4 linked regions of the Lonchura striata genome follow. The protein of the gene in region 3 purifies or fractionates together with the protein of the main gene of each other region. This does not show direct contact. Links are inferred from orthologs where the notes say so. Each region holds a gene or a part of one and is shown on either strand. Other genes may lie near its edges.

What was found.
Region 1: the proteins of CSNK2A2 (region 3) and DEK purify together in Homo sapiens (affinity purification with mass spectrometry; 4 studies listed by BioGRID and IntAct, with this or other methods). This does not show direct contact. The link is inferred for Lonchura striata from reciprocal best matches to the Homo sapiens genes CSNK2A2 and DEK.
Region 2: the proteins of CSNK2A2 (region 3) and EIF3L purify together in Homo sapiens (affinity purification with mass spectrometry; 3 studies listed by BioGRID and IntAct, with this or other methods). This does not show direct contact. The link is inferred for Lonchura striata from reciprocal best matches to the Homo sapiens genes CSNK2A2 and EIF3L.
Region 4: the proteins of CSNK2A2 (region 3) and PIP4K2A purify together in Homo sapiens (affinity purification with mass spectrometry; 3 studies listed by BioGRID and IntAct, with this or other methods). This does not show direct contact. The link is inferred for Lonchura striata from reciprocal best matches to the Homo sapiens genes CSNK2A2 and PIP4K2A.

What each region holds. Positions count from the first base shown.
Region 1 is NC_134603.1:88,781,479-88,788,781, reverse strand, and holds the start of DEK (protein DEK), read right to left. Parts: upstream 3,005-7,303; 5' UTR 2,776-3,004; intron 1,098-2,775; 5' UTR 1,087-1,097; coding exon 954-1,086; intron 1-953. UniProt on the Homo sapiens protein: Involved in chromatin organization.
Region 2 is NC_134607.1:23,541,828-23,548,783, reverse strand, and holds the start of EIF3L (eukaryotic translation initiation factor 3 subunit L), read right to left. Parts: upstream 3,012-6,956; 5' UTR 2,915-3,011; coding exon 2,882-2,914; intron 2,806-2,881; coding exon 2,757-2,805; intron 2,678-2,756; coding exon 2,467-2,677; intron 1,886-2,466; coding exon 1,806-1,885; intron 1,552-1,805; coding exon 1,490-1,551; intron 198-1,489; coding exon 128-197; intron 1-127. Other genes in the region: ANKRD54 (ankyrin repeat domain-containing protein 54), read left to right, coding at 3,193-3,433, 3,784-3,831. UniProt on the Homo sapiens protein: Component of the eukaryotic translation initiation factor 3 (eIF-3) complex, which is required for several steps in the initiation of protein synthesis.
Region 3 is NC_134615.1:17,523,603-17,531,268, forward strand, and holds the start of CSNK2A2 (casein kinase II subunit alpha'), read right to left. Parts: upstream 3,014-7,666; 5' UTR 2,975-3,013; coding exon 2,871-2,974; intron 2,661-2,870; coding exon 2,549-2,660; intron 1-2,548.
Region 4 is NC_134603.1:138,985,340-138,993,277, forward strand, and holds the start of PIP4K2A (phosphatidylinositol 5-phosphate 4-kinase type-2 alpha), read right to left. Parts: upstream 3,001-7,938; 5' UTR 2,884-3,000; coding exon 2,743-2,883; intron 1-2,742. UniProt on the Homo sapiens protein: Catalyzes the phosphorylation of phosphatidylinositol 5-phosphate (PtdIns5P) on the fourth hydroxyl of the myo-inositol ring, to form phosphatidylinositol 4,5-bisphosphate (PtdIns(4,5)P2). Has both ATP- and GTP-dependent kinase activities.

The sequences.
Region 1 (7,303 bases), on a different chromosome or scaffold from region 3:
CACCCTGCACATCACTCATTTAATGATACCATTCTAAAGAAAAAACTAAAGCTTCACCTAAATATTTCATACTAAAATACTTGACCTCAAGTAACACTATCCTTAGAGCTAAACAGATGGGCTGTCCTGGCTTTAGTGAATTGTATGAACACTATCAAAACCAGAGCAAAAATAATTTTTTCCCTGAAAATCCAATGCTAATCACTCTGCTGTTTTCCAAACGGCATAATCCATCTTCTTTCTACTACCTTTCCTAAAGATCCAAGAGCATCAGTGACTTGGTTTTCACTATGTCACATTACAACTCTATTTCCATGAATGCTTTGCTTTTGAAAACACATGCCAGGAGACATCTCAATAGAAATTAACATTTTTGCTTAGTAGTTCCTTCATCTTGTTTTGTTCTCCTTTACTACCTTCAATTACATGCCACGACAAGAAACTTGCCTTGCTTGCTCACCCTATCACATTGCCACAATTTTTTATTACCAAAATTAGTCTAAAGGAATTTCCGCTAACTCAATACAATTACATTTGGATAGCCAGAAAATTAATTCACTGTAGTTAAGACAAGACATTCATATTGCTTCCAAAACTACTGCACACTTAAGATTTCCTTTTGCAAACACAGATCACTTCAGAGTGTTACTAGCAAAAACTAATTTGATAAGGGACACTACCTCCTATAATCCTTGAAAAATTTATACATCAACAAAAAAAATCCCTAGTACACAAGTCCAGGATGCTGGCAATTCCTTAAATATTTTCTGAGATTAATCAACACCACTGTTTTTAGCATTGCCTGTTATAGGCTACTGGGAAGCTATTATGACCCATGAGACAGATGCATGATGAAATCCCCTCAATAATTGTACAATTAGCCAAAATCACAAGAGACTGCATTCAGTAGCTTGGCATCCATTAAAGAACAACTTAGTCAATGAGAAAAGTACCCTTTTCTTCTTCCTCCTCTTCCTCTTCTTCATCTTCATCACTTTCCTCAGCTTTGTTTTCAGTTTCAGGTTGTTTCTCATCTGTTTTTTCTGATGACATTGTATCTTCTTTTGATGAATCAACAGAAGACATGGTGTATGCTCCTGTAGAAAGAGTCAGGGGAAACTATCATCAGTAGAACAACATCCATAAAAACCACGGGAATCTTGCTTTCAAAAATTATCTCTTTGTGCAGCAGAAGCAGCGTGCTGGTACTGTGATTGTTCACATTCTCTGATCACTAAGGTGTTTGGCATACACACAATACATACAACTTTTCAGAAGAAGTTGCCATCCATCCTGCAATTAGTCTGGTTAAGAACACTCTAAGAGGTTATAAATTCTATTCACACACAAGTCTCCAAGCTGCTTTTGTGAAGCATTCGGGAACACCCACTCAAAGCAGCCGAAACCGTTATCTATTAAAAACTGCAGTGTTTTAAGATATCACTGTTTTACTGCACCCTGCTATAAACTTAATACTTGATCATGGTTAACTATGCATACAAGTTTCCTAGTAACTTAAACAAATTACTTATTTAGACTGGAAATGGGAAAAGAAACATTTTTTAAAAAGCTGCAAGCAATTCAGGAAAGAATTAACACAGCTTTCATAACCTAGACAGCTGCTGCATCTTTAGGCATGAAAATACTTCCCGTTTTAATTTGCAAATCTACAACAAAAAAGAATAAATGCTTCATACTTAGCATGTATAAGAGTCTTTTCTTAATATCTGAAGTGGCCTATATGTAAGCTTTAAACTAAAATATCTTAGTTATACACGTACCATTTTCTACTAACAGAAAACACCTATCCAATAGAGTAAGATAACCATATGTTTCATTTTTAAATTCTAGCTTTCAAAAATTTTCACCTTTTAAATCTGGAACAGAATTTCACACAATTAACAATTTTCTTTTTGCAATATTAAAACAAATATTATCTGCAAGTAATCAGGTACTATAAGTAACACTTAAATCTGCTGCTTATGTGCAGCATTAGTAGGTGCCAGAGATCAGTCGTGTTCCAAATGACAGAAAGCATGAGGTAATATTTATTACAAATAATACGGGGAAAAGTAAAGTTTCCTGGCTAAATCACCAGTGAAAAATACACCCTCCAGGGTATTACTACCAACATTTTCATTTGTAGTAAGTAATCTAGCATTTTCACGGCAATTACTGACTTTTTGAAGGCACGAGTAAAAGCAAGAGAAGCACTACAAGTTGTCTTTCTTTACCCTTTCAGTGTGAACAGAGGGGGGGAAAATAAAGTTAGAGACTTCTTAGCTTTCCACCACCTGGGCTCGGGACGACATTTTGCTTAGGGAAAAAGGGTTCTGGGATCCACCCTTACCGGGAGAGGGTCTCCCGCCCTCGGCTGGGGCTTTTCACGCGGGGACTTTCCACCTATGCCCCCTTCCCGATTTGTAAGCTGGATGCTGGGGCAATCGGAGGGCGATGCGCAGCGCCCGGTGGCGCCGGCGGCCAAGGCGCCATCGGCTCCCCGCTGCAGCCGGGCCAGGACCGCTCGCAGCCCTCCCTCGGCTCCCGCCGCAGGACACGGCCGCACCCGGGAACCGCCTCGGGCACGGGCCGGGAGGGACGCAGCCCCGGTGACAAGCGCCCCGCACACGGCGCGTCCCCGGGGGCGGGACGGGAGCTCGGCGGCACGGCGGCCGCGTTTCATTTCTGCCCGTCACAGTCCGTCCCCGCTCGGCCCGGGCGCGGCGAGGCGGGACCGCTCTCGGGCGCCGTTACGGCCATGGCGGCAGGACCCACCTCAGCACGAGCCCCGGCTCCCTCCTCAGGCGTGGCGGCGGCAGCAGCTGAAGGCGGCAATTACTGCTGGACGAGGCGGGTCCGGGCGCAGCCACACACACGCGCCCCGCCGCGGCGCAGCCCTACAGCCAGCGGCCGCTCTTGCCCTTTCCCTCTCCTTCTCCCTCTTCCCTCCCTCCCGGAATCAACAAGGTTTTCAAAATGGCGGGTTCTCGGGCGGCGAGGAGGAAGCGGGAAGGCGGCAGCCAATCAGCGCCCGCGGCCCCGCCGGCGCGGGGAGGGCGGGGGAGGGTGCGCGTCACGCCCGCCCGCCCGCAATGACGCCAGGCCGCTGAGGGAGCGGGCCGCGGGTGTGAGCGGCGCGACGTTGCGTTTTCCCTTTTAACACTGGCGCTGTCTTTAATTGAGGTGGCTTAGAGAAAAAAAAAAAAAAAGCTTTAAAATAAGGAATCCGCACCACTTATCCTGCCTAAATTGGGCAGCGATTAATATATGCTCCCCAGACTTTCGTTTTGTACACTGTAGTGTTTCCCAGTACCTCTGGCACAGGTTGCCCGGAGAAGCTGTGGATGCCCCATCCCTGGAAGCGTTTAAGACCAGGTTGGATGGGGCTCTCAGCAACCTGGGCTAGTGGAAGATGTCCCTATCCGCAGCAGGTAGGCTGGGACTAGATGATCTCTAAGGTCCCTTTCAACCCAATCCGTTCTGGGTTCTTAAGTATTTAGTAGTGTTCGTCTTACACATATATCCTACTTTTACTACTAGTTCTACGTAACTACGCTTCACACGCGCCTGCGATGAACCATTCACAGGAGCGTGGCATCCTTCCCACTTCCTCTGTATTGCTCCAGCGCGGCTCCTCCCCGCGGGGCTGGAGCGAAGCGCCCGTTCCCTGCCGCGGTCCCGTGCGGGGGGTCCCTGCCGCGGTCCCGTGCGGGGGATCCCTGCAGCGGTCCCGTGCGGGGGGTCCCTGCCCGCGGTCCCGTGCGGGGGGTCCCTGCCGCGGTCCCGTGCGGGGGATCCCTGCAGCGGTCCCGTGCGGGGGGTCCCTGCCGCGGTCCCGTGCGGGGGGTCCCTGCCCGCGGTCCCGTGCGGGGGGTCCCTGCCCGCGGCCCCGCGGCGGCGGCACGGCCGGGCCCGCGCCGCTGCAACGGCCGCTCCCGGGCGTTGCGGCCAGCGGGCGGCAAGGGCTGAGGAGAGAGGTCGCCTCTTTGCTCTTGCAAAATGTAGGGTCTCAGGCGGTCCCCGAAAGAAACGAGGGCCACTCCCCGCTCTGTGGCCCGAGTTCAATTCCTAAGTTAATCTTGGTGGCCAGGCTGGTCTTCACGTTGCCGTCAACAGGAGTTGGGAGTACGCAGACGGTTTGTTGCAGGGAAGCAGTCCGAACTAGCCAGTGCAGGTGACTTGTCTAAAAGCCGTGTTATCCCAAGAGCACTTTCTTAGGTACTGTGAGTAGCTGTAGGTATATGGCTCTTACTTTGGGAGGTAAAGGGAGGGTAAAAGAGAGGAAATGAAAAGAGCGTCACACTTCTGTGAATTGTTCATCTTAGATGGATGTAAAACATAGTATCATAAAATTGGTAATAAACCCAGGAAATATATGTTACACAAATATTACAAAATATTTATAATCAAAGAACAGATTGGGTTGGAAGGGACCTTAAAGGTCATCAGGTGCCAATCCCCCTGCTGTGGGCAGAGACACCTTCCACTAGCCCGGGTTGCTGAGAACCCCGTCCTGCCTGGCCTTGAACACTGCCAGGGATGAGGCATCCACAGCTGCTCTAGGCAATCTGTAGGATACAGATATTAGGAAATACTACAATTTATATGCTGTGTACAAAAGGATAATCTGGGGAGGGTGTATTAATCACCATCCAATTTAGGCAAGAGAGATGCAGATTTCTTATTTTAAACCTTTTTTTTTTTTTAAAGCCTGTGCAAACACAGACGGTGGTCATTTTATAAGGAAAAATGTAAATTATTTACCAACAATATATAATTAGACAAGCTTATTGTTAATAAGGAGACAAAAATATCATTGGGCCATGGGCTACACAAATGGCACGAGACAGATGTTTGAAGACAACAAACTACTTCCTTTAAGATGAATAGGTTTGGATTAATTCAGAATTGTGACAGAAGACATCCAAAGGCTGTGCTTCGGGTTGTGATGATAAATTAGATCGCCTTTTGTAAAAAGGGATGTATTTACCCAATGGAAATGATTTGCCTAACTGAATTATATATGTTGATATTCTATACATGCCACATTAGATGCACCTTCATCTTGAGGAGAAATAGAAGATAATGGTTTCATTGATCCTTTTAGTGAAGTCATACCACTTTAGTAGCTGACAGACCTTTAAACATAAACCAAATCCAGTAATTTAGGAATTTATATACTCGGTGTAGGTAAATTTCATTTTGTCACAGGTTCCTCTGGCAGAATTTCAATAGCTATGATAACTTCTATTGATTGTGTTTTTTGAAACCTCTGCCCTTCATAGTATCTTTTTGATTTACAGCTGTATGGAGTAGTTTCAGTATGTTGTCAACAGTTTAATAATTGGTTGTTGCATCTCCCAGATAAGACTGAGACAATATAGGTTAAGCAGACTTCAGAAAAAATATGTAAAGCTATAATTTGGAGAAGGAGGTGACCAATTTGAAAAAAAAAAAAAAATCAGACATGTTTTAAAGGCAAATTTCTAAATTCAAAAAAATACTTTGAAACTGGTTTGTCTTCTCATTTTGACTATGAGTAAGAATGCTGATTCTCAATATACTGCTTTGGGATGATATTCTGTATCCACACTTCTATATTGCTGTCTTCTCCCAGTCTGAGGAAGTTCACTTAATTATATTATTTCAGGTGAGATTTGAAGGACCTGGGTGGGATAATGATATTGGTATAACATATTAACATTATCTAAGGTGTTTAGACATTGTAATGAAAGGTTCTAAATGCAACCTAAAAGCCTTGGTCCTGGAAGAAGGACAATTGGAAGGGGATAAGTAATTTTAAGTGGTTCCTAAGAGCTGCTTCCTATAGCCTGCTCCCCTTATTCCATCACAGAGAGCGTGCTTCTCTACTGTTAGAGTCCTATCCTAATGTTAAGGACACACTGAGTTTTGACAGCTATCTCCGTCTGCAGGTGCCAGTTCTATGAAACACAGTTCTTCTGGAGGTACCTGGGCTCACTTTTAGATATCAAAGGGTACATTTCTTAGACATCATAGCTCAGTAGCATTAAACAGTGAAAACTGGTTTGAGGGGACTGTAAAAAGGGGCAGCTTCGTGTTTCAGCATACATTACAAGCTTGTATTTTATGCTGAAATGCACCAGAGAGTGCAGTTTTAAACATGGTCACCAGCTGCTGTTAATTAATAAAAACAGCTCTTTTCAGTTAGTTCAGAGCAACTTGTATTGGCAAGCAATGCTTATTGGCTCTCAGTATAAAGTATAAAACAACCTATGAGCAGCTTTTGGGAGCAGAAATGTAGGCTTCCCTTTACAAAGTCCCCCAGGGCTGCCTTTATTTGTTTCCAAAGTGACCTGTCACTGCAATGTCCTGCCATCAGCCCAGAAACTGGCAAGTCTGCTGTGGGCAAAACTACAGAAAAGGCCATCTGTGGATTGCAGACAAAGCGCCCTGCATCAAAGTAGACACTAAGTACCTCTCATCTGGAATTTTATCCATAGAGTAAAATACCACAACAACAAATGATGGGATGCTACTTTTTTAATAATGTGGGTACTGTTGCTTTGTGTCCTTGTATGAGTCAGTTAAATCTATATATGCGTGTGTGTGTCCACACTTCAGGGTTTTTTAACAGTCATGTGACAAGGTTTCCTAGAAATGTCAAAATGCCTGGCCTATGAAATTCTGAGGAAACTGTGCAAATGCCAAGTACATCTTTATTGCTATTAGGAGCAGTGTGTGGCTTTTGAATCTAAGGGTTGCTTAATCACTGCTGAAAGCAGGAATCTAAATATGAACTAATAATTGTACTAATTAATACATCTTAAAAGATAAGAACTTGAAACCTGTTTGGGTAGTATGCAGTTAAGTTGTGATGTGATCAATAACATAAGCTGAGAATCTTCAGGTGTTCACTGCACAGCTGTGCAAGTTATTTATTGACTGATAAGAACACTAAGTTTGCACAGTGTTTCCTAAGGGGATCCTGCATCCTACATTCATTTCCTTTTTTATACCCCATCTAAATGTTTCAGGACTAGCAGGCTATTATATCCATCATCATGTTTGTCATGCCTGACCCTTTAAGAAGCTTAAAGAGTTGTCCCTGTAAATACAAATACGTGCAAATGTGAAATGTGTAATCAATATGAAATCAATATAAGCAGATTCACTATACTTTAGAAATCCCCTTTTGTGCCATGATTCAGGGTAAGTATGTGCAAGATTCAACAAAATTGTAAAGTACAAAGAAACATCAGAGATAGACAATGAATCAAAGTAGGATATAAAGACATGCTTTTCATCTGTGTCTGAATGACAA
Region 2 (6,956 bases), on a different chromosome or scaffold from region 3:
TATCTTTCCCTCTATTACTTATAAAGAAACATGTTGCTGTTCTTCTGACCCTTTGTCCAGCTCTGTCCTCTCCATCTGATCTTTCTCTCCAAAACTCACAAACCAGAAATTAATTGCAGCAACTCACTGAGAATGTAGTTGAAGAGATTGCAGTAATTGTAATAAGACTCAAATCTCTGCTCCAGCGTGGGCCCCCCCTGCAAAGAGAAGTCAGCAGAGTCTGCTTCAAATCAAGCAGGGCAGGAGGGAGTTCATGGGCAACAGCATAAGGACAGTCACAACAGTAGAGGGTCTGGTTCAGGAGTGCTAGAGCCAGTATTCAACCAGGACACCCACCAGCATCGCCCAGAAAACCTGTAATTGTAGCACTGCTGTCCCACAAAATAGGGATGGCTTTTCCTGTATAGGCAGATTCTCCCAGGATATCAAGCAGTCAAACATCCTGTGAATATTCTGCATTAACCTTCCCTGCTCCCCTCTGCTGTTCAGATTCAAGAACTTCACTATTCCTTCACCAGCTTTCCTTCCTTCTCTGCTCATGAGAAGCCTTAATAGATGAACAATTCTGTTTCTGGACATAATTCCTAGACACTTGACCTACTGGTTCTTGTTTCAGCTGGAGACACTGAGTCTGAAAACCACTAATGGCACAGCTTGAGAAACCAGTTTCTCCTGCTGAAGTTTGGCTTGGGCACACAGCAGGCTTTTAAAAGTGTCCATTTCTCCACCCTCTGGTCTACAATAAAACTGCAGTTATTACTTATTTACCCAAAAGTCATGCATCTGTTGAGACTTTTTCCTTTAAGAACCAAGTACTATGACTTTCTCATTGATTAAAGAGACTTAGAAATAGGCTTAAAAAAGACAAAGTTTGTTTCGTTTCACAGAGCACTATTCTTTTCATTTCCTTCTTCTCCATCCTTCATGGTATCCATGTTTCCCTTTTCATAAGGCACTCTGATCCCATATGAGGATTTTTATGACAAATAATGCACCTTCCTCTTGTGACACCCCTTCTCACTGCCTGCTCATTTGAAGAGGAAAAACAAAGAAACACACATAAGCAAAAAAAAAGGAAAATTCAGTTACCTTCCAACACCCCCTTATTCCCTAACTCACTAACCATTACATTTGCTGTTAGAAACAAAGAGCCTCCTGAACACTCAGATCCAGTCTCCTGATTCATCTGAGCTACCACAGAAACCAGCACACTCATCACCACCAAGCCTGAAGAGACAGCTAATGAGCCTCAAACAGACAATCAAGTCTTTCTTGCTTTTCAGCAGTCAGTGAATCCTTACTAAACTACCAAAAGCAAAAATTTTAATCTTCCCTAAAATCAGTGTGACTTACAGCTCATGAACCCATCCAATCCTGCCTTGCAAAGGTTAGGGGACCACTGATACTGTAGGGCAGCAAGACTTGTCAAGTTTGCTGGCACAGAGAAGCCAGCAAGCAGCCCACAAGAAGACACAGGGCCAACACTCACGCTGACTTTGGCGTAGATGTGCCTGTAGTACAGCTCCTTGTATAGGATCAGGAAAACTGCATCTGGAAAAGACAACATAAGAGGACATTAGCAAGCCACAAGGCCTAGAAGCCTTCTGCCAGAACAACGAAAGGAAGCACAAAAAGACGCTTCACTCAAGTCTGACTTCTTGCCAGGCATCTGCTGAAAGAGCTGCCAGAGTGAACAAAGGCGACCGACTCAGGCAGCAACAACGCTGTGCACCTGATAACTCAGGGTCAGGAGAAATTCAGTTCCTTCTCTCTCTGACAACCCAACAGAAAGTGGAAAGACTCACCATTTCCAACCTGAGGAGCAATGGCCTCAGCCTCTGGCCATGGAGTGTTCTTAAAAAACCTTTCTGTCAGTTTTGTCCAGCTGAAAAACAGACACACATGAGGTATGAAAATCCACGTTTCACTCAGTATGACAGTGCTGGAGTCAGAGATGACAACAGAGAGAGGCCTTGGACTTGATGAAAGCTGAGCAGCACCACCAACCCCTGCTAGTAAATCCAATGTTGAAGCATACCATGAGAATCACAAGCTGAGCAGTAAGATTGCAATTTATCTCCCAGGCATGAAACAGACATGTACGTCACTTCCACACTCCCTTTAAGTCAAGCTGCCCCAGCTACAAGCAGGAGTGGAAGCAACCGTTTGGAAGAGACACAAAAGCTGTACCTCAGGTTTTTGCAAACTGCCAGACTAACACCACTGAGAGCCCTCTTTGCAGCCTCCCTCCCTGTTAGGCCAGGGCTGACACTTCCCTTCAGACAAATCACAACTCGTCTATACTCACATTGGCCTAATGGGCTGGTAATACCAACGAATTTTTTTTCACAGTTACCAAACAAAACCCGTTTCAGAGAAAGCCCAAGTTCGGAACAGCACAGGTAGCAGCCTTCCCTTTTAACAGCATCACAAGTTAAAACAGTGATTTCCATCTGTTGGAAGTACCTGTTCTCATAAATGTCCTGGATCTCGTACACCTTCTGGTCAATAACATCACTGGAAACGCGGCTGGCCTGGAGCTCATACACCTTCTGGTCAATGAGATCTGACACCGTCTTGTGAAAATACTGAATGAAGTTTTTGATCACTTCGGGGATCACCTGGTAGGTCTGCTGTTCGTACTGGCGCTCGTAGGCCAGGTCTTGCTTGGGGTCTCCTGCGGAGAAGGAGGAGCAGTGAGGCAGCGCCGCACGGCCCGGCCGGGGCGCAGGCAGGCGCGGGGCGCTCACACTCACCCGTGTGCATGTCATAGTCGTTGGAGTAGGCGTAGGGGTCGTAGGCAGCCTGTGGGGAGAGGGCGGCAGTGAGTCCCCGCGAACCCGGCCCCGAGCCCCGCGCCCCCCAGGCCCGCGGCCCGCACCTCGGTGTCGTAGTCCTCCCCCGGGTAGGCCATGGCGGCGGCGCGGCGCGGACAGCGCTGCGGGCGGAAACGCGGGCCTGGCGCGGGGGCGGGGCGAAGGGCCGAGCGGAGCCCTTCTACTGGCCACAGCAAGTGCCTGTCTTCACCCGGGCGGGCCGGCCGCCCCTCTCTGTCTGACTGGGGAAGGCAGCTGCCCGTCAGGCTCTCTGGCCCCTGCCCGCCGCGCCTCCCCGCCCGCTCCCTGCCCATTGGCTGCACCGCGGGCTGTGCCGCCGGTGGCGTCCCGCCCCTGCCGGCCCGGCCGTGACGGGATGGAGGGCGGCGGGGCTGGCGGGGCGCCCGCCGCGGGGCCGGACTCGGAGCCGGGGCCGGACTCGGAGGCACAGCCGCAGCCGCGCATCGCGCTGCCGCCGCTCGGAGCGGACGCACCCCTCGGTTACCTGCACGTCCTGTGGCAGCGGGAGGAGCCCGCGGGCAAGATCCCGGCCCGCCGCCTGCGCAGGGCCGCCCGCCTCCACCGGCGGCTGGGCCCGACGGGCAAGGAGGCGCACGGTGAGCGGCGGCGGGGAGCCGCTGTCCCGCGGCCGAACAGCCGCTCTGCGGCCCGCCCCGCTCGGGCCGCGGCAGGCAGGGAGGGAAGGGAGGGCGGGCGGCTCTGTTCCGTGCCCGTCCCTGCCGGGGGAAGGCGCCCGTCGGGAGCGGGCGGGCCCGCAGCCCGCTTCGGCAGGAGACAGGAGAACCATTCTATATCCTGCTGTCCTGATCTGCTTCCCATTCTCTGGAGCCGGTAGCAGCCTGATTTGGCCCCCCGCGTGTGCTCGAACACCGGGGTGGAACGTGTCTGTAGGGAAACGTGCCTTTTCCCTCTGTACTTTCCAGTAATTGCTTTCTTTCCTCCATAGCTCTGAAAAGGCTGCGTGAAGCTGCCAATAGCAACGATTTGGACACAGGTAAGGCTTCTGTCAGTCCCACTTGGGACCTCTTCTTGGAAGGGCATTATCTCAAAGGCTCTTACTCCAGGAGAGGAGGAAGTGGATGCAGATAGTTTGTGGTCAGGGTGCTTTAGATGCTTCAGATGTAGAAAAGGCTTTTTTAAAATCCAGGTTTGTTCTCCAAGCAGAGTGTGGCTGGTTATTGTTTTCACTTTTTCATTGCACCTGGTTCATAGTGTTAGTTTTCCATCTGCCTGGGCCTAAATCAACGCTGTACTGTCCCAGCTGTTTTGGTATGTTCTTTTGCCCAGTTGTTAGCAGCAAGAGAATAATGTTTTGATTTAGGTGAAAAAGTTATGATTACCTAAGCCATACACTGTATGATGAGGCAGTGTGACCCAGTAGATTAGAACCAGGGCCAGAGCTGGACTCTCCTAGTTTCTGCAAAATTCCCTTGTGATCCATAAATTCTGCTTTCCAGATGTCCAACCTCAACACTACATCTTTGTCTCTCAGGCTTTGTTAATTGAAGCATATCAGAGTTAGTTTATCAAAACTTAAAGTCTTAGTAAATTTTGCAATCTGTGCTCCTACAAAATGAACTTAATGACAACTTTGCTAGATGCTGGCTAAGAGTAATAAAAGAATAACACACAATTTATAATGAATTAATATTTATTGATTATGACTAAACAATCTAATTAAAAGGTAATTAAAAACATTAGCTAAAATTACTAAAAAGTTCTGACATTTCCAAAAATTTCCCCCTTTGGAAGTGATCTTAATTTTCCTTTATGATTACTTGCACTTAAATTGTTGAATATCTAGCAAAACTTAAGACATCAAGATGCAAAAAATTTGCTTGTATTTTGTTATAAGATATCATAGATCATTAATTCCGAATGAAATTCTAAATCGGGGTATTATCTCTTTTAACAATATCTTGGTAACTTCTCTTGCTTTGTTGGTGCAAGTAGCTATCCAAAAAATGTGTCAGCTAAAACCAATATGTATCAATATCCTTCTTGTCGAGGTAATTCAGAAAAATCTGTTTGCCTATAAACTCCAGGACAGTTTTCTCTTTTTATAATCCCTAAAGGAGGTCTTTTGTAGGGCTGTGGATTGTGTTGCAAACATATACACTTACTGACTACACTTTTAATTCCTGGTATTTTTACACTAATTGCTTGATGTTTCAAGTTGTCTCTCATAGCTTCTGCTCCCCAGTGTGTTTCTCTGTGTTTATCTTTTCCTGCTTCTCTCATCACTGCTTGAGGTACTATGTTGTTCCATTTCTCTTTCTTTTGGCAATATAATATCAACTCTAAAATACCATTTTGGTGTCAAATACCATGAACTGACCATTTTCCTTGATTATCTAATAGATACTCTAGCCACCAGAGAATACATTATGCTATTACCAGTTAAAGAATTGCTTTTAAATTCTTTCCAGTGCTGCAAAATGCAACCTAAAGGCAAACATTTGCGTATACCCCTCTTCCCGGGCTCGAGAAGAAAAAGGAAAGCCCACAGTAAATAGAAATTCCAGCAATGACAAAAACACGACACGAGAGAGCGCTCTGTGCACACCAACATAACCCCAGTCAGCTAGGAGGAGCAGCCGCTGTTCTAACGCCAGGAGAGGGCTCTGAGCAAAGGACCCTCGCTTTAACAATTTACATTACCCAAAACCAAACACTTAGTACACACCAAGTACACTAAAATTCACAGTCAACATACAATGGCTTAAACACTCTTACAGCCAATGAGTTTTCATACAGACTCAATTTATGCTTATGACACACGTTAACACACACATTTTCCAACACTAACAGATACCATAGGCTTCAATAAGCAGACATATCTGGGCAAAGCCCTTCCACAACGTGGCTCTTCATGCAAGCAGCACTGTCTGACTAATTTATGGGCAAAGCAGAGGGTGAAGACTCAACACCTTTTGACTGTCACTTATATAGTTTTACAATTAGAGTTTTCCAACTAGACAGTGGGACTCAAACACAATTCCATTAATATTCACTTACAGAGTTTTACACTAACTTTAATAGAAAATAGCCAATTATATATCATAACTTTCTTAACTCTTATTATGTTAGAGAGTGCAAGCTTATGATTAGGTATACCTTTTTAAACCTTCAGTAATGTCTTAATAAACTCCCAGGATTTTTTGCCTTGAACTTGCCTGGATCAGAGGATTGAACATTTTCCCTGAAAAAAGTCTTTCAGTGTGCACCAAAGTCCTTGTTCCTGTAAGTCTGTGGAACATCAAATGCGTTGTCTCACCTGGGTCACCAGTAAATTGTTACTAAATCCTTCTAAATTGTTGGGGTAAATAAACCCCTCTAACATTTTCTTTATAGTGTTAGTGCGTAAGATGTTACGTTGTTGCTGGCCAGGAGGGATTTTTGTGGCTCACAAAATTCTGACCTCCACTCAGACTCAGATATAAAACTTCTTCACTTATTTATATTTTTTAGCAAACAAATAAATGAATGTTCATTGGTTGTAAATTGCATAATTCTCTTCTATTAATTAGTACGGTGTCCTCTGTGGGGTATTGATTTCTTGCTTCTCATGCTAGCTGGTCTATATTTTTAGTCTTTTTAGTATCTTTCTCCTCTGGTAGGGACTTTCCAACACATACACTGAGTTGGAAAGTCTTTGTTAGTCCCTTATTTATCTTCTGGTTTCTGCACAGTCCTTGTGGTCCATAAATTCTACATTCTAGATGTCCAACCTCAACCATACATCTTTCTCAGGTTTTGTTCATTGAAGCATGTCAGAGTTAGTTTATCAAAAGTTAAAGTTCCAGTAGTTTCCCCAAGCTATGTTCCTACAAAAGTACATTATGACAGCTTTGCTAAATACTGGCTAAGAATAATTTAAGAATCACACACTGTTTATAATTGTATATATAGATTATGATTTACTAGAGCTATTAATTTAAAAGTTAATTAAAATCACTAACTAAAATTATTAAAAAGTTATATCATTTCCAACAGGGAGATGAAAGAATGCAGTTTTATGTAAGTCTTGGTTTCAATCCACCTTAGATTTGATAGACAGTTTCCCATGTTTACAGTCCTCTTGTGTTTTGTTTTCTCTGCAGCTTGAGGAAGTGTGCA
Region 3 (7,666 bases):
AAATTTCCTGACCTCTGTGGAGGATGGTACAAGATGTTCAGGTACTACAATGCCAAAGCAGGGGAATTACTTGCTATGTGCTAGCTTGGGCTCAGTAAGGACAAGCTGCTTCAAAGAGCAAAGGCTAGGAAGACACACCAGTGACTTTCCATGAAGTTGAGATATCAAAACAGTGACTCTTGGTGAAACTCACCCTAACACCTAACATAAATTGTACTCTCAAAAATGTTAAAGAGAAAGGACTGTGCTAAACAGCTGCATCCATTGCCCAACCATGGTACTTCCCTTTAGCTCATCCCTGCATCACACAAAAACCTGCATTTCTCATCTCACAGAATCCAAATTTTTCCCCAGTTAGGAGGAGCAGAGACATCCAGTCCCTTTGCTAAGATTCCCCTGTAGATACATGCAATTATGTTTGCAATTAAGTTTTGAGTCTAGTTACAGGAAACCAGAGGCACTTTCCACAGATCAGGGTGATGTTATTGCCACACTTCACAGGTTTTCATAATGTACACAACGTGGTGCTCTGAAACTCCCTTTTCACTGACCCACTTTCCACGGAGGAGAAAGTTCATCTTTATTTATCTGGACCTTCTGCTTTTCCTTGCTCACTCACAGGAATGCTGTCTGCATTTTAATGCCAGTGGAGAGAGCCAGGGGAACCAGTGGCAACACCATCCACTTCATATCTGGGACAATCCAGTCTCCTGCTTGCAGGGCATTAAGGCAACACATTCAGGCCCCAAGGAGAAGGAGCACCCAGCTGCCCTCAGATGACTCTTGCCAGCTGACTCCCTGTCCAAGGCTGACAGGCTCCCTAGCTGTGACAGAGTTCAGCTGCCACAAGGAGAGCAGCATTGCCCCAGGGGAGGCTCTTTGGGCTGGGAACAGGCAAGGAGCAGGGTTTCTGATGACTTTTCTTGCAGCCTCCTTTCAGTCTTGCGGTGCCTTTCTATGTGGTGCCCAAGCTAGGATTTCAATAAACTACAGCAGTCCCAAAGAGGCCACCAAGGGCTCCAGAGGAGCATGCACAAGTGCACAGTTTCCCCAGGCCAGCCACCAGGCATCTTGCTGTAAAATCCAGCTCTGCACTTGCCACTTGTGACTACTGTCTGACAGCAAAAACTCCTGCCTGCATCTGCTTTAAAAAAGACAAAACCCCAAACCACAGAAGAATCCAAAGGAGGGGGAGCACGCCAAAGGAACCTGGCTTGGCAAGGACACATGAACCTCACCACTCTCACATCAGGCTCAGCCACAGAGGACAGCTCACCTGGCCACCTCCTTGCCCACAGCCAAAGCTGGGGTTTGCGTGCCTCCTCCCAGAGGCAGATGGAAGATGATACCTTTCCCAGAAGTGCTGGCTGGACAAACCATGACAAGTTCTTTGGGAAGCTAAGGCAGATCCCGAGGAAGCAGGCACACTGAGAGAGTGGGAATGTCAGCAGAGACAGCCAGACATGCCATCTGAGTGGATCTAGTGAGTGCCTTAAGGCTACAGCCCTGCAGATATGCATGTCCCGGAAAGCTGCTCTTCTCAGTGGTGCACGGGCACATTAAGCTCAGAACCCCCTGCATGCTGTGGATGAATGTGTGCCCAAATTCTTAGGACACCCATGGTCAGACACTGGCTCCCACGTGCTCTTGGGGAACAAGTGATAAGTGTTGCTGGTGCAACAAGTGACAGCCACAAGTGTCAGCCAAGCCAGAATCAAACATACTGCAACTCTAACCTTTCATCTCTGTCTTAACTCCCCTGCCTGCCCCGAGATCACCAACACAGAGTGCTGCTAGGACAATCAGCACAGCTTGCTGTGAGCTGTTGCTTCAGTGTCAAACATGGTGAGACATGCCCCGCAGTGTATAACCTGTGCACAGCCATCCCAAACTACAACCTCCCAGTGCTGCACAAAGGTCCCCACAGCTCAACCCCACCAGGTTCAACACACCAGCAAACAGATCACCAGCACTGCCAAAGTTTGGTAGGTTTCCTTGAGCCCCCTCAAGTTTCCATAGTGTTTGTAGTATGACTGTGATGAAGCTCTTTTCCACATCAGATCCTCTAAAGGACTGAATATAAAATATTGGTTCTTTTTAAACTGCTGAGCATCCCACAGCCTGGCTCTGGAAAGGCCACATGCCGGCTGTCTAGAGATTAACAGAAGGATTCCCCCCTCCAGGCTTCACATTCCTGTTGAAATGGCTGTCCCTGGGCTGTTTCAGACAGGCATTGCCAGATACGATTTGCCAAACACAGACAGAACACGCAACGCTGTTCAAATGTCAGGACTCGGCTCTCCCCCACCAGAGGAACTCTCAGCCCTGAGCTATGCTGGACAAGGAGGGGTGGAGACATCAGAACATCACTACAGTACTCAAGACACCAATTCCATTTCCAAACACACCATCCCAATGATCTTAACGAGAAAACAGGAGTTTTGGAGTGAAGAAAGAGATCCAACAGTTCTTTGGCCCTGCCAACCCAGCTTCTCTCTGTCTTGCTCCCAGCCACCACAAGCCTCTACATCATCAACGGGATACTCACCTTGAGGATCTTCACGACGACCCTCTCGTTGTTGGTGATGTTGATGGCCTCAAAGACCTCGCTGTACTTCCCTCGGCCGAGCTTTCGAACCAGCTGGTAGTCGTCCTGGTTGCTGCGGGCACCAAGAGGAGAGAGGCGGTGCTGGGGGAAGAGCGGACAACTAACACGGCAGCAGGCCGGGGAGCGGGGTCCTCTCCCAGCCTCTCCCCGCCGCAGCCCCCCGGGACACCCCAGCACGGGAGCGGGGGACCGGGACATCCTCCCCAGGGGCCGGGGCCCTCCCGCGGGAGGAGGGAGGGCGGGTCCCCGCACGGCGCTTTACCCCCAGCTCGGGACGTGCGACTCGTAGTCCCAGTACTCGCGGCTCCTCAGGCTGTTCACCTCCGCGTACACCCGCGCCCGGCTGCCGGCGGCCGGGCCGGGCATGGCGGCGCCGGGCGGCGGCTGCAGCAGGAGGAGGAGGAGGGCGCGGGGCCGGCGCGGGAGGCCGGCGAGGCGGGGCGCGGCGCGCAGGAGGGCGGCGGCGGCGGGCGGCAGGGCCAGGCCGGAGCGGGGCCGCGGCGGGGCGGGGCCGGCCCGGGGGCGGCGGGCGCGGGGCCCGCGGAGCTGCCGAGGCCCGGGCCCGGTGCCGGCGGCTGCAGGCGGGGCCGCCCCGAGCGCCGCGCAGCCAACCCGGAAACGGCGGCGCCGCCGCCGCGCCCGCCCAGCGCCGCGCGGCGCCCCCCGGCGGCGCGGAGGTCCGGCCCCGCGGCCGCGCCCGCCCCGCGCCCGCCCCTCAGGCGCCGGGTCCCGCCGCGGAGCCTCCCGGTCTGCTGCCACCCGTCCCGTGTCGCCGCCCAGCCCGGCAACCCTCTGCAGCCGAGCCGTCCCCAGCCTCCCCTGCCTGCTCCATCGCAGCCTGGCGCACGCCCGCCACACCCTGACACCCCCGGCACTCCCTCACACCGCTGCGGACAGCGTCACCTCTGCCCCCTCACGACCCCACCTCAGCCTGGCCACAGCCCTGGTATACTGTCACCCCATCGCCGCCTGCAGTCGCACTCTCTCCTTGTTCCTGTCGCCCCATCACGTCTCGCCAGCCCCAAGGTGGAAGCTGGGGTGAACAAAAGGCTCCGTGTTCCTCTGGAGGAGCTCACAGAGCCGCAGCCGGCTCCTCCGGAGGTCATCTGGTCCGAGCCCTGCTCCAGCAGGGTCACCCAGGGCTGGCGGTCCTGGCTTGTGTGCAGACAGCTGCTGGACATCTCCAAGGATGGAGCCTTCACAACGTGCACGGCCAGCTGTGCCAGTGCTTGGTCCTACTCAATGAAAAAGTGTTTCCCCAAGTTCAGAGGGACCCTCCTGTGTTCCAGCGTGTGCCAGTGGCCTCTGGTCCTGGCACTGGGCACCATTGGGAAGAGCCTGGCTCCCTCTGCTTTGCCCCCTCTCTCAGTCCCTCATTCACCTCCGTGTACCTTCACTGGCCTCTCCCCACTGTGCCCCTATCTCCGTGGCACTGAGAGGACCAGCACTGGACACAAAGCACTAGCGGTGATCCACCACGGCTGAGCACATCCCCTCTCTTCACCTCCTGTTAATGTTTTGACTAAGGCAACCCAGGACACCCTTAGTCTTCTCTGTGGTTTATGTTCAGTGTGGTGCCTGCTAAGATCACCAGATCCTTTTCAGAAAAGCTCCTTCCCAACAGACCTGGATGTGGTTATGACCCCTGAGATACTGTGCTAGTGACTGGCCTCCAGCTAGAGTTTGTGCTGCTAATCACCACATTTTCAATCCACCTCACCTCCTTGAGTCCCAGGGGAGCTACCAACCCCAGCTCTTCCTCAAGCCCATGTGGGCTGGGTGCAGCCCGGTCTGGAAAGATAAGCATGTGGATTCAACCAGACACTGAAAAACCCAGTGAGCTTTCTGTGTGCCTGAGACTGAATGATGAAAAAACCCAGGAGGACTTTATAATTTCATACTTTGAGTCCTGACTGAATGCAGACCAGGCAGGACTTTCACAGGATCTTTGGAAAACAAGGAGGACATGTTCATGATGCTTGCTCTTCTGGGGCAGTCAGCCCTGGAGGGAAAAGGCAGATGTGACACCCACTCCTGCGAAACCTGTCTTAACAAAGCAAGAGGAAGATCATCTGTCCTTTGGGAAGGCTGCCCCATCCTGAGCCCAGCTGACTGGCCCTTCCTACCACGACTGTGGAGTGAAGACAAACATCATCTCCTAGGATCTGGAGATGTAGAAATGCATAAGCAAAGCAGTCAGGCCCTGCATAAACTGGAGCTGATGGCAGATATGCAAAGGCCAATGCCTGAGTCACCAGCTGAAGCGGCGCTGTGACGCCAGGATGTGCATGTGGCTGTTTTTGCAGAGTGAGGTGGTTGGAGCTGCCCTGCTAAACAGCTGAGATGTTCATCTCTCACAGCAAATTCTGCATGGGACCACAGCAAAATCCTGTGCTAAAAGGGAATTTCTCTTCCACATGGTGCTACTATTTGGGCAGAGATGCTCAAGCATAGAGATGGCAATTTTTTTTTTTCTGATGGATAATTTTCCTGGTAGAGTCCACTGAGTTGTCAGCAATTTCATCACTGGTGACATCTTCCTTGATGTTTTCCAGTGGGACACAGGCAGGCTATTGAACTGGCTTGCCAGGCTGATTCCTGGCAGGAAAGCTGGCCAGTTGCTGCCAGCTCCTCCAGCTGGTGCCTGGGCTGCCCAGCTCTGGGCACCACGGCTGCCTGCTGCCTTCTAATGCTGCCCAGCACTGCCCACAGCAAAAAGCCCAGTTTGCAGTTATGGGAAGTTTGCCAAGCTTTACCTACCTTCACTGAAATGCTAGAGGTCTGTTTTTACTACTACTATTACTACTACTACTACTATTATTATTATTATTATTATTATTATTATTATTATTATTATTATTATTTTCAAATCTGGCCATAACAGCCCAGGTGTTTCCCACCTGGGAAAAGTCAAGGAAAATATTTGTTTAGCCATTAAGACAAGATCTCTGGACAAGGGACAAATTTTCTGGCAGAGATATGCTAGGTCTCCTGCTGACCTTTGAAAAGCTGTGTGTGGCTGGACAGAGCTATAAACACTTCAAAAATCTGCACTCCACATTTTGCATCTGCAAAATCTCTTGGCTGTCCAGTGATGCCATTCTTGCCCACCACCCATCATGGCTCTGCTGGGTCACTCAGATGCCTCTCCTTTTAACCTACTGAAACATGGCCTGTGGCAGGCTGAGGCATCACAGCCATGGCCTGGTGTGGAGACAGGGTGTTAGAGTTATCTTTGCAATCTTAGCCAACACACACAAGCACTGCTTTGAAGACAGCTTTTAATTCATGTCCACATGTTCAGCTTTTTCATGGGATCTTCATCCCACCTTGCATCCAAAGATGAACTCCAGGGTATGCCCTATGCATGCTGTTCCCTCCTCTTCATTCCAAACCACTCAATTTCTGGTGTCAAGTTCTGTATGTGGTGAAGATCCCACAATGAAGGATGTTCATCCCTGCACCCAACAAGGCCAGGAAGTGAGGTTCCTCCTGTGAACTGGATGTGGTTATGACTCAAGATGCATTTTGAAGATGAGTTTTGACATGTTCTAGCCAGAAATAGGACTGGCTTTGCCAGGGCATTGATTTTTCTCATGTATATATGATTAGATTGACTTGCATCCCTCATCCCAAAAAAAGCTGTGGTGAAGCATCACTGGCCACATCATCAGCTTTTGGAGGAGACACACACATTTAAACAGACCTGCCATCCACTGCCATTGGCCCTGAGCATCTCGCACAGAGAAGTCAGAGCACATTGCTGTGCCATGGTCTAGATCCAGAAACAGGGATACTTACAAATGATTCTCCACACCCTCACAAAGCTCCTAAAACTAGGCATGCCTGTAGGGACAGCTGCCTTCAGGACTGGTGCTACTGCTCCCCCCAGTTTTACATCCAGATTGTGACAAAGCAGTCTGTAAGAGGAAGATTGTAGTGTCACGGACAGAGAAACATCCATCGTGGTGCAGATGTACCTCAGATGGGAGCAGGGGGCCAGTGTTTGCCTGCACCCCTCTGGAGCCTTCAGCACCCAGCTGTTGGACTGAGTCCTGCCTGGCCCAGCTGGTGACAAGGAGCCCAGAGGCAGTGCCTAGTCAGGAGCTTCTGGGAGCTGGTGCTGCAGGAGCAGGAGTGATGTGCACCCCAGGAGACCCCGGGGAGGGCTGTCCCTTTGCCATCACACCCCCTGCCACTGCAGCCAATCCTCCACACATGCATTTGATCAGTTTCCAGTTTTGCATATGTACCTCTACCAGAGCAGTCCACCTTGGAGACCAGGTGCTGGTGGAACCATGACCAGCCCGTGTCTTTGACCCACAGGCCATGGGTTCCCCCAGCTTTGCAGCTCTCCGAGGAGGTCAGCACTGCCAAAGAAGCACGACCCCCATGGCAGCTCTCACAGGCAGCATGGAATTCCTTTCTGAGACCAGCACAAACCTCTTCCTTTGTCCAAAGGCACGGCTGCCTCCTTGGCAATGCTGCTGGGAGACAGGCACTTCTCACAAGGAGCTGTAGCCTCCCAGCAGCCTGGCTGTAACCTTGGAAATAATGAGTTTTCGGCTCCGTGGAGAACCAAGCCAGCCTGACTCTGCAAGGAGACAAAGCCTGAAGCCTGCTGCCAGTTCTACCCACAGCAAGATGAACACGGCTCTTCTGTGAGCTCACACAAAGCCTCCCTTGTGTAGGAAGGGATCCAGCCAAACAAATGATCTCCTTGGCTGCACGTCTCCTGGTGCTCCATCATTTTTACTATTTGCTGGATTGTTCCCACAACCAAGGAAAATTTAACAAGTAAAAGCATCTGATAAAAATCTATCAACCACAGTAAAGCACCAACCCAGCCAAACCAGTCTGTACAGCACAACCCTCACAGCCTTCAGGACACGTCCATTCAATTTACCAACCAGAAAAAAAAATGCTGTATGGTACTTGCAACATCACCAGTGTGGAGTCTTTGAGTACAGCTTGTGTTACCAAAGCGCAGTGAGATGTCTGAAGGTCGCTTCCTTCCCCAAGCCTGGTTCCCTGTTGTGAAAAGACAAGTTCTTATGT
Region 4 (7,938 bases), on a different chromosome or scaffold from region 3:
CACACCTCTGCTGTCAGCCCTCAGCTTTGTGACACCAATGTTTAGGTTTTCCCTTTAGAGTCATGTTTCCTTCTAGGACAGGAGAGTTAAAACAACAGTTTGTTGAGGTTTTTTTCTTAATTTTTTCACATTCAATTTCAAACTCTGAAAATCCTCCCATATTCAACAATCAAGTATAGTCCTAAGACTAAAAAAATGAATACACCTGCAGAAAAATAATCTTTTTCCTTTATCTTCACCAAGTGTTTCCTTCCAAAACATGCAGCAATGTCAGAAACATAGGAACTGCATCTCAGCTTCACTGTTTCAATATATATATATATATTATTCCCCAAGAAACAGTTAGTAAGACTCATATTTCTATTCTCTCATTAACTGACAGGCACTACAGACAGTCTTAAATATAATTTTCCAGATAATTACTGTGTTCTAAGTTTAATGACTCCCATCATGAACTATAATCTATGCTCTGTTCTTAGTCTAGCTTTTGCTTATGGATTTCTGTTTATTCTGCTAAGAAACCTAAGGATTCCTAACTCCTGTTCTTAATTAATACACATAGTTTGTATTTCTCCCATGAGAAACTCTTATTTGTGATAACAGAGTTAAACCATGCTTGCACACTTATTTTCATTTGGTGGACATTGCCACATGAAGCATTACAAAATGACAGGAAAAGCATCTAACAGAGAAGCCTGCAACACTTCAATGATGCATTCTTGGCCAGGAAGAGATGTTTAATTTGGACACATCAAATTAAATTTTTTTTTCCATGCTCTCTCATTCAGTGGGATTTCACTTCCACAGGGCCTCCAAGCATTACTCATGACTACATTTTGCAGTGGGCTAAGGAAATGGAATGCCATCTGCAGAACACAACAGATATTCACACCTACAACCATCACCTTCATGTGAATGCAAAGCCTCTTTTCTCTGAGCCTGTTGTGTTGCTGGTGTTGTTTTTTTTTTTTGAACCTCTCCAAAGAGAGGACTTCAGTTCACAATTTCGCATCTTCTGTGCATGAACCAACATACTTTATTACATTTTCTATTGAGAACAGCTAAGCACACTACAGCACATGACTGCAGGATGGTGAGAATCACATATGGTGTTGCATTTGTCACTATATACTTGGTTATTACTGTAGTGAAGAGGTCTTTCCTCTAAAAGTAGTGGTATTTCCACTGTGAACTCACATAGCAACGAGCTGTTGCAACAGGAAGATCTCTGCTTTCATCAGTGATCTTCTCCCCCTCTCCTCAGGAAGACAGTGAACAGCTAGCACACGCTGCCATTCAGTACAACTCTCTCACCCTGTAATTACTCGCTTGCTTTCTTTCATTAAAGAGGCCTGTTTGAGAATTTTCTATAACACTGGCTACTACAAAAGGAGCAAAAGAAATGTGGGTATTTAAGCCCAAATCAGGCAAATCAGAATATCATGCACTTCCACAATTAAAGATATTTCTGCTTTGTAGATAAATAACTACTGTCTTATCAGTTCATGACATAGATGTCACTGCTCACAACTGACCTACTGAAAACTTGAAATCCTTTGTCACCATTACCTACCGACCCACAGTGCTACCTTAAACAGACTGTTCAACTTCACTGAAGCTTCTCCTCTGTCTGGTACATACAGCCAAAGCATTTCCCCATGATCCTTACTTCAGGCACTGTGCTGTTTAACACAGTCTAACAGAGCCCAGGCTTGATGCACAGACTTTGGGCAAAAACTACTGAAACATCCACAGAGGTAAAAAATTCATGGGCTATGGATGTGTAGGAAACAAAAGGAATAGTGAGCAAATACTACAGGCTGCTCTGTCGGTTTCATGAGACCGTTTCAAAATTTGTAGTCTGATCTCAAATTGCACACTGACATTCTTACAGGCTCGTTACTCAGCAGCAGACGTAACCCATGCAAACCCGACACAGGCGTACAGGCTGCGCTCCGCCAGCAGAAGGGAACACGCTCTTTGCTCAACTGCCCTGATACCCGATTTCTGACGATCTTTGGGCTCTACACTTTTAACCTGCCATGGCGGCTATTTAAAGATGCAAAGCTGCGACCTGAACCCCGTAATGCCCAAACCATGTGACACCTTTACCAGACTCCTAATTTTAACGCAGACCAGCGCCCGGCCGGGAGCTCTCCCGGAGCCCGGGCCGCCCGTCCCCGCAGGGTGATGGAGCACTTCGCAAATGGTGCAGTTCTGCCGCCTTACCACACCAAGCCCTTCCTCCTCCCCTCCCCCGCGCACACTGGCAGCGGACACTTGCCGAAGCGAACAGCACGGACGCGGGACGAACTTGGCCAGTTCCCACTGATAACCGGGATTTTTCCCAACTGCAGCACATCCATGCGACGCCCGCGCGGTGCCGGCGGCAGGAGCGGAGCTACTCGGGCTCCGCTCGCAGCACCGTCCCCTCCCGGGCACCTCCCGCCCGCTGCCGCCGAGCGGAACCGCGGGGCCAAAGGGCGGACACGGGCTACCGCAGGCGCCCCGCACGGCCCCCGCGCATCGTCCGCGCCCGGGCAGGGCGCTGCAGCCGCTCCGCGCCGCACACCCCACGCTCCCGGGGTAAGGCGCTCCCGGCCCCGCCGGGCGAGGGGCGGCAGCCGGCGGGGGCTCCCGGCGGCACGTGCCTGCCCCAGTCCCGCCCGCGCCCCCGCAGCCCCCGGGTGCGATGCCCCAGCGCGGCGGGCGGGCTCGTGTGGGTCGAACGGCGGCGCTTACCGAGTGGTTGACCCCCCACATGAGGACGCTGAGCAGCGGATCGCTAGCCCGGAACAACTTCACTTTTTGCGCCACGAAGTGCTTTTTCTTGGTCTTGGTTTTACTCGCCATGACGGGCACGATGCTGCTGGGGGCCGCCATGGCGCTGCCGGCGGCGGAGGTGGAAGGGGCTGGCGTGGGGTAGAGCGGCGGGCGGGCAGGAGCGATCAGCGCCGCAGCCCCGCGGGCGAGCGGGCGGCGGGCGGGCAGCCGCGGGACGCCGGGCGCATCCCGGCCTGGCGGCTGAAATGGCCCCGCTCGGCGCGGCGGCCCCGCCCCGCCCCCCCCGCGGGGAGCGGCCGCCGCCCGCCCGCCACGCACCGCGCGCCCGCCCCGCCCCCGCGGGAACCGCGGAGCGCCGGCTCTGCCGCCCCGCTGCGCATGCTCCCCGCGCGCGGCGCCTGCGCGGCCGCGGGCAGCGAGGCGGGGGGGCCGCCGCGCCGCCCTCCCCTCAGGGAGCGGGGCCTGCGGAGCTGGGCGCGGGCCCCGCCCCGCCCCGCGGGAAAGGGGCTGTCGGCCGCTGGCCTCTGGCCCTCACGCCGTCGCCAGTCCTCTGAGGAACCGAGCCTCCCATCGCCCTGCTCTTTAGCGAGCTGGTGGCTCACGCCGTAACTTCGTACAGCTTGTGTGATTCCAGTTCCCTCTGCCAGCGATCTGTAGGAATGAGAGGGATCTCTGCGGCAGGGCTGTGCCTGCTGCTCCCGCCCCAGCTCGGCTCCCTGAGCAGAGCGGTTCCTGCAGCCGACGTGCCGCAAATACAGAAAGCTCGGTCCCCTGCAAGACTATTGCACCGCTGTGACCTCGCTGTGCTGTTACACCCCCAGCAGAATGTTTCTTGATCGTCTCCATGGCCACAGAGGATGTGGTCAGTGACAGGTGACATCCTGTAAAGGCACATCTGCCCAGCTCAGAAATATCGAACACCGCGTAAGTTTTGCTCCACTGTATGATGAGGAACTCAATGACATCTGTTGTCACTGCTCGGGGCCAGTACCCACGGGTAACACAGAGCATACATCTCCTGAGCCTTTACAGTAAGTCATACATCAGCTTCTGAATAACACAAACTGACCTGCCTGCTGTAGATCTTGCTTTGTTCATCATCTGATGCTTCAGCAAGGTGACCAGATCCTTAGGGAGAAGCAAGAGCAGGGCAGCTCCATGAGGTGGACAAACCACAAGTGAGGGTCATCCCACTGCAACCAGTGCTCTCAGTGACAAGGCATGGATGCACAGGGCCCACACTTGGTGGGCAGGGTGCTGGCAAGAGCATACATCACATCAGCAGTCCCAGAGAAGCTGAGGTGATGAACCATGTCCATCCAGGAAGGCACAACGTAGGCACAGGTTCTATCCAGGGCCAGAAACAGAGGTGCAGGCAAGCTGCCTACGAGAGAGGCCCAAGGTATAACCAAAACACAGAGCTGGAGACAGGTATACCTACAACATAGCTCAGGCAGAGACCTAAACTGTGCCCTCCCTGAGCTTAAGTGGAGGTCCTGGGCAGAATGTGTTCCCAGTGTGGCTGTTCAGGGCAACTAAGATCAATACCTGAGTCTGGGACCCCAACACAAGCTTACATAAATTTAAAAATGTGTTGCACGTCCCCATTTCTCTTTTGCCATTGTGATCTCAACAGCAAAGTTATCTATCATGCTGGAATCTAAAGCAGTAATGTTTAATCTCCCTCCTGCATTGAAGCAGTTACTGGGATTTATTATATGGTCCCTTGTCTTCATATTATGGAGAGTATGATAAAACAGAGATGTATTTAATTTTCTGCTCATTTTTTGTTTTGTTTTTTTTTTTTTTTTCCCCCAGCAGAGTTACTTAGGAGTTACAGAGATACTCAACTGTAATTTTTGTTCTTGAAAATGGATTCAACAACAAAAAAATCCCTTATGTTCTGCTGCAGTCAATGGAAGCAACTGAGTCGTCAGCACCTTTGAATAAAAGCAGGTCACTTAGATGCCTAAATATAGATTTGAAGTCAGACTTTTGGAAGAGTTCAGTACCCATTTTATCCCTTACATTACACTTAGAACACGACATCTGAGCACTGTGCAATGCTACGCACATCAACATGACTAACATCTGCCACACATGTGTCTTTCTTCATCTTTCCAGAGCAAATCCCTATAGTTAAGCATTTTGGTTTATAAATAATTAAAATTTTAGTAGATTTTTTATAGGGAAGGTTGAAGAAGGAAGTTGCTCTTTTTTCCAGAAGACTTTCTTGTCATATTGGCATAGATTCTAAGGAGCTCTTCTCTGCAAATATGAGTTCTCACTAAAGAAGGTGGTTTTATCAGAAGAACAGAGGATGTTGACAATAACAATTACAGCAAAATTTTAAAAATTCAAGGGCCTGGGCTATTTACATTACAAAGTCTGAGGCAAAGATTTATCCTCTTCAGTTTTAAGTGCCACAAACAAAGATGGTTGCCTGTACTTGCCTTTCCTGTAGGAACCACTGTGGGCACAGGTTTTCCACTGAATCCATGAGACAGATGCAGCTGAACTCAGAAGTCACTTGAAGAGACAAAACTTGATTACATTTGCAGTCTACTCTTCTCTTGGGATGTCTTTCCCTCAGTTGTAATCCTGTCCCTTAAAACAGAACAGAGGCTGAGGCCCTCCTGCCAATGCCCACAGTAAAAAATTTCACAGTCCATTTCTTGCAGCCTAGACCTCCCTTTCAAACCTCTTTTAACTCACCATCTGCTGGAGCTCCAGGGCTCTCTCTCCCCCAGTTCTAGCAATGACCTGAGGGAAAATGTCATTTTATGCTGAGTCACAATGCAGGGTCCCCAGCCATTGCCCGCACCAAAAGATTGTCACAGCCACGTTCTTCTCATGTTCTACTCTTTCCTTTGACATGTTCCCTTTTTAAGCTCCCTCCATCTGCAGCTCTAGGCTCTCTCTGTCCAAATGCCCACCTTAACACTAACACAGATCTTTAGACCAGGTCCCCCAACCAGTGCCCTCAATAAAATATTCTCTCTGCCACATTTGCTCTACCCCACACTGTAGAGAGCGCTGAGCTCCAGGACGGTTTAGGTGAATGAGGATGAGACATCTCTGAAGGCTGCTCTTGGGTTACAAGGTTTATTGGGGATGCAGAAAGGTCCTGCCTCGAGCTGCCAGACCAGCACGTGGCGAGGCTTGAGAGGATGGGGGAGGGGAGAGACAAAAGGATGCTGTAGGAGAGGGGAAGTTCCAAGAGGAGGGGAAGTTCCAAGAGAGGGTCTGGCCCCTCGGAGACCCCTTATTAGGGGGCTTCAAGGTGGGCTGGAACAAGGCTCGGGCCAATGGGGTTACAGGCACTTGATGTTTTAGGGGAGGATTACAGATGCGAGGTGAACCATACATTTTAGGGGCTGAGATGGAACAGTCCACTTGACCCCTGGACCCATCCGTAGGCAGGGGCATTGTCCGGCTAGCTGGGAGGACTGTTCTCATCCTGGCTGTATTATTTATGAATAATTATATTTATCCATCCTTTCCAACACCACACCTTTTTTGTTTTTAAGATCTGCTTTGTACCTCCATTCCAGCTGCAACTCCAGGTCCTCTGTGTCTCATAGCTCTAACGTTAAGCCTCAAACAAACCATATGCTGGGCTTTGGATATGGTGCTAGTGCCCACACCAGGAAGTTCTTGCTGCCAAGTTCTTCTGGCAGCCTACACTTCCCTGGGACAGTCACTTTCTAGCCCTGAGCCAGCTGCAGCTGTTGTCTCTTTCCTTCTGTCAAACATAACCTCAAACCTCACCCTACACCTAGAAGTTATGTTGAGCCTTGGACCAGGCCCCTCAGCCATTGCTTCCACCACCAAGTTTTGGCAGGCAAGTTATCCCTGTGGCCCAACCTTTTCACTATCAGCTGCTCTCAAGCTTCCCTTCATCTGCAGCTCTAGGGTCTCTTTGGCTCCTAGCACCAGCCCTAACCCTCACACAAGCTGTATGATGGACTTCAGACCAGGACTGCAGAGCACCAGTCATATCAAAAAGTTCTTGCAACAAAGTTCTTCTTGCATCCCAGGTGTTTTAAGGCTGCGGTACTACACTCTCTTGTCAAAAATAACCTTAAGAGTAGGCTGGGCCTCAGACCAGGCAGCCCTGCCAAGTTCCTTTAACTTAGACTTCCCCTTAAAAGCCCTTCTCTAACTCTCCTTCTGCTGGAATTCTAGGCTCTTTCTCCCATCCTTAACTCTAATCCTGATGTAAACATAATTAAATGCTGTCACCCCCTCTTTTAATTCCCAAGCCAAAACAGTCTCCCAGCCAAGTTCTCTTTGCAGCCCACCTCCTTTCTAACTCAACTCTCAGTGCAACTCTGGGCTCTCTTTCTTTTAACCCTAATTTTAACCCTAGCCTCTGCTGGATTTGCAAGGCAAGGTTTTGGTTGTGCAGGGAGCTATAGGGGTGGCCTCTGTGAGAAGATGCCAACCCACGCTGGAGCAGTCGGCTCCTGAAGGGCTTGCATCCTGTGGAAATGGCCCATGCTAGAGCAGTTTGTGAACTACAGCCTTTGGGAAGGACTCATGTTGGAGAAGTTCATGGAGAACTGTCTCCTGTAGGAGGGACCTCACACTGGAGCAAGGGAGGAAGAAGGAGAATGGAGCAGTAAAGACAGTGTGTAATGACCTGATCACAGGCACCCATTCCTCCACTGGGGGAAAAGATAGATAAAATTGGCAGTGAAGCTGAACCTGGGTAGGAGGCTCCCCCTGTCCAGTTCAGGAGGGGAGTAATAGCGTAACTTGATGGGCACTGATATCCAGCCAAGGTCAACCCAGTCATATCAATAAACCCAGCCTAAGGCTGAATCCTGGGCTACAATTTACCTTGGGCTAGGTCAAACAGAAAACTTATGGGAACAAAATTCTCCTTCTTCCAGTTATCCATTCTTTCACAGTCCCACTGCAGCAGAAGCTCAATGACTCCCCCTCCCAAGCCTAACCCTGACTTTAATCTCAGAGGCTGAGCTTCAGACATGACCCTCAGCCACTGCCCAGAACAAGAAGTTCTTGAAGCCAATTTCTCTTTGCAGCCCACCTTTCACTTTGAGAGCTCTTTTCTAGCCTCTTCCAACTGTCTAGCCTTCCCCATAGGTTTCTCTTTCTCAGCCTTAACCATGGCCACAGGGTGAGCCT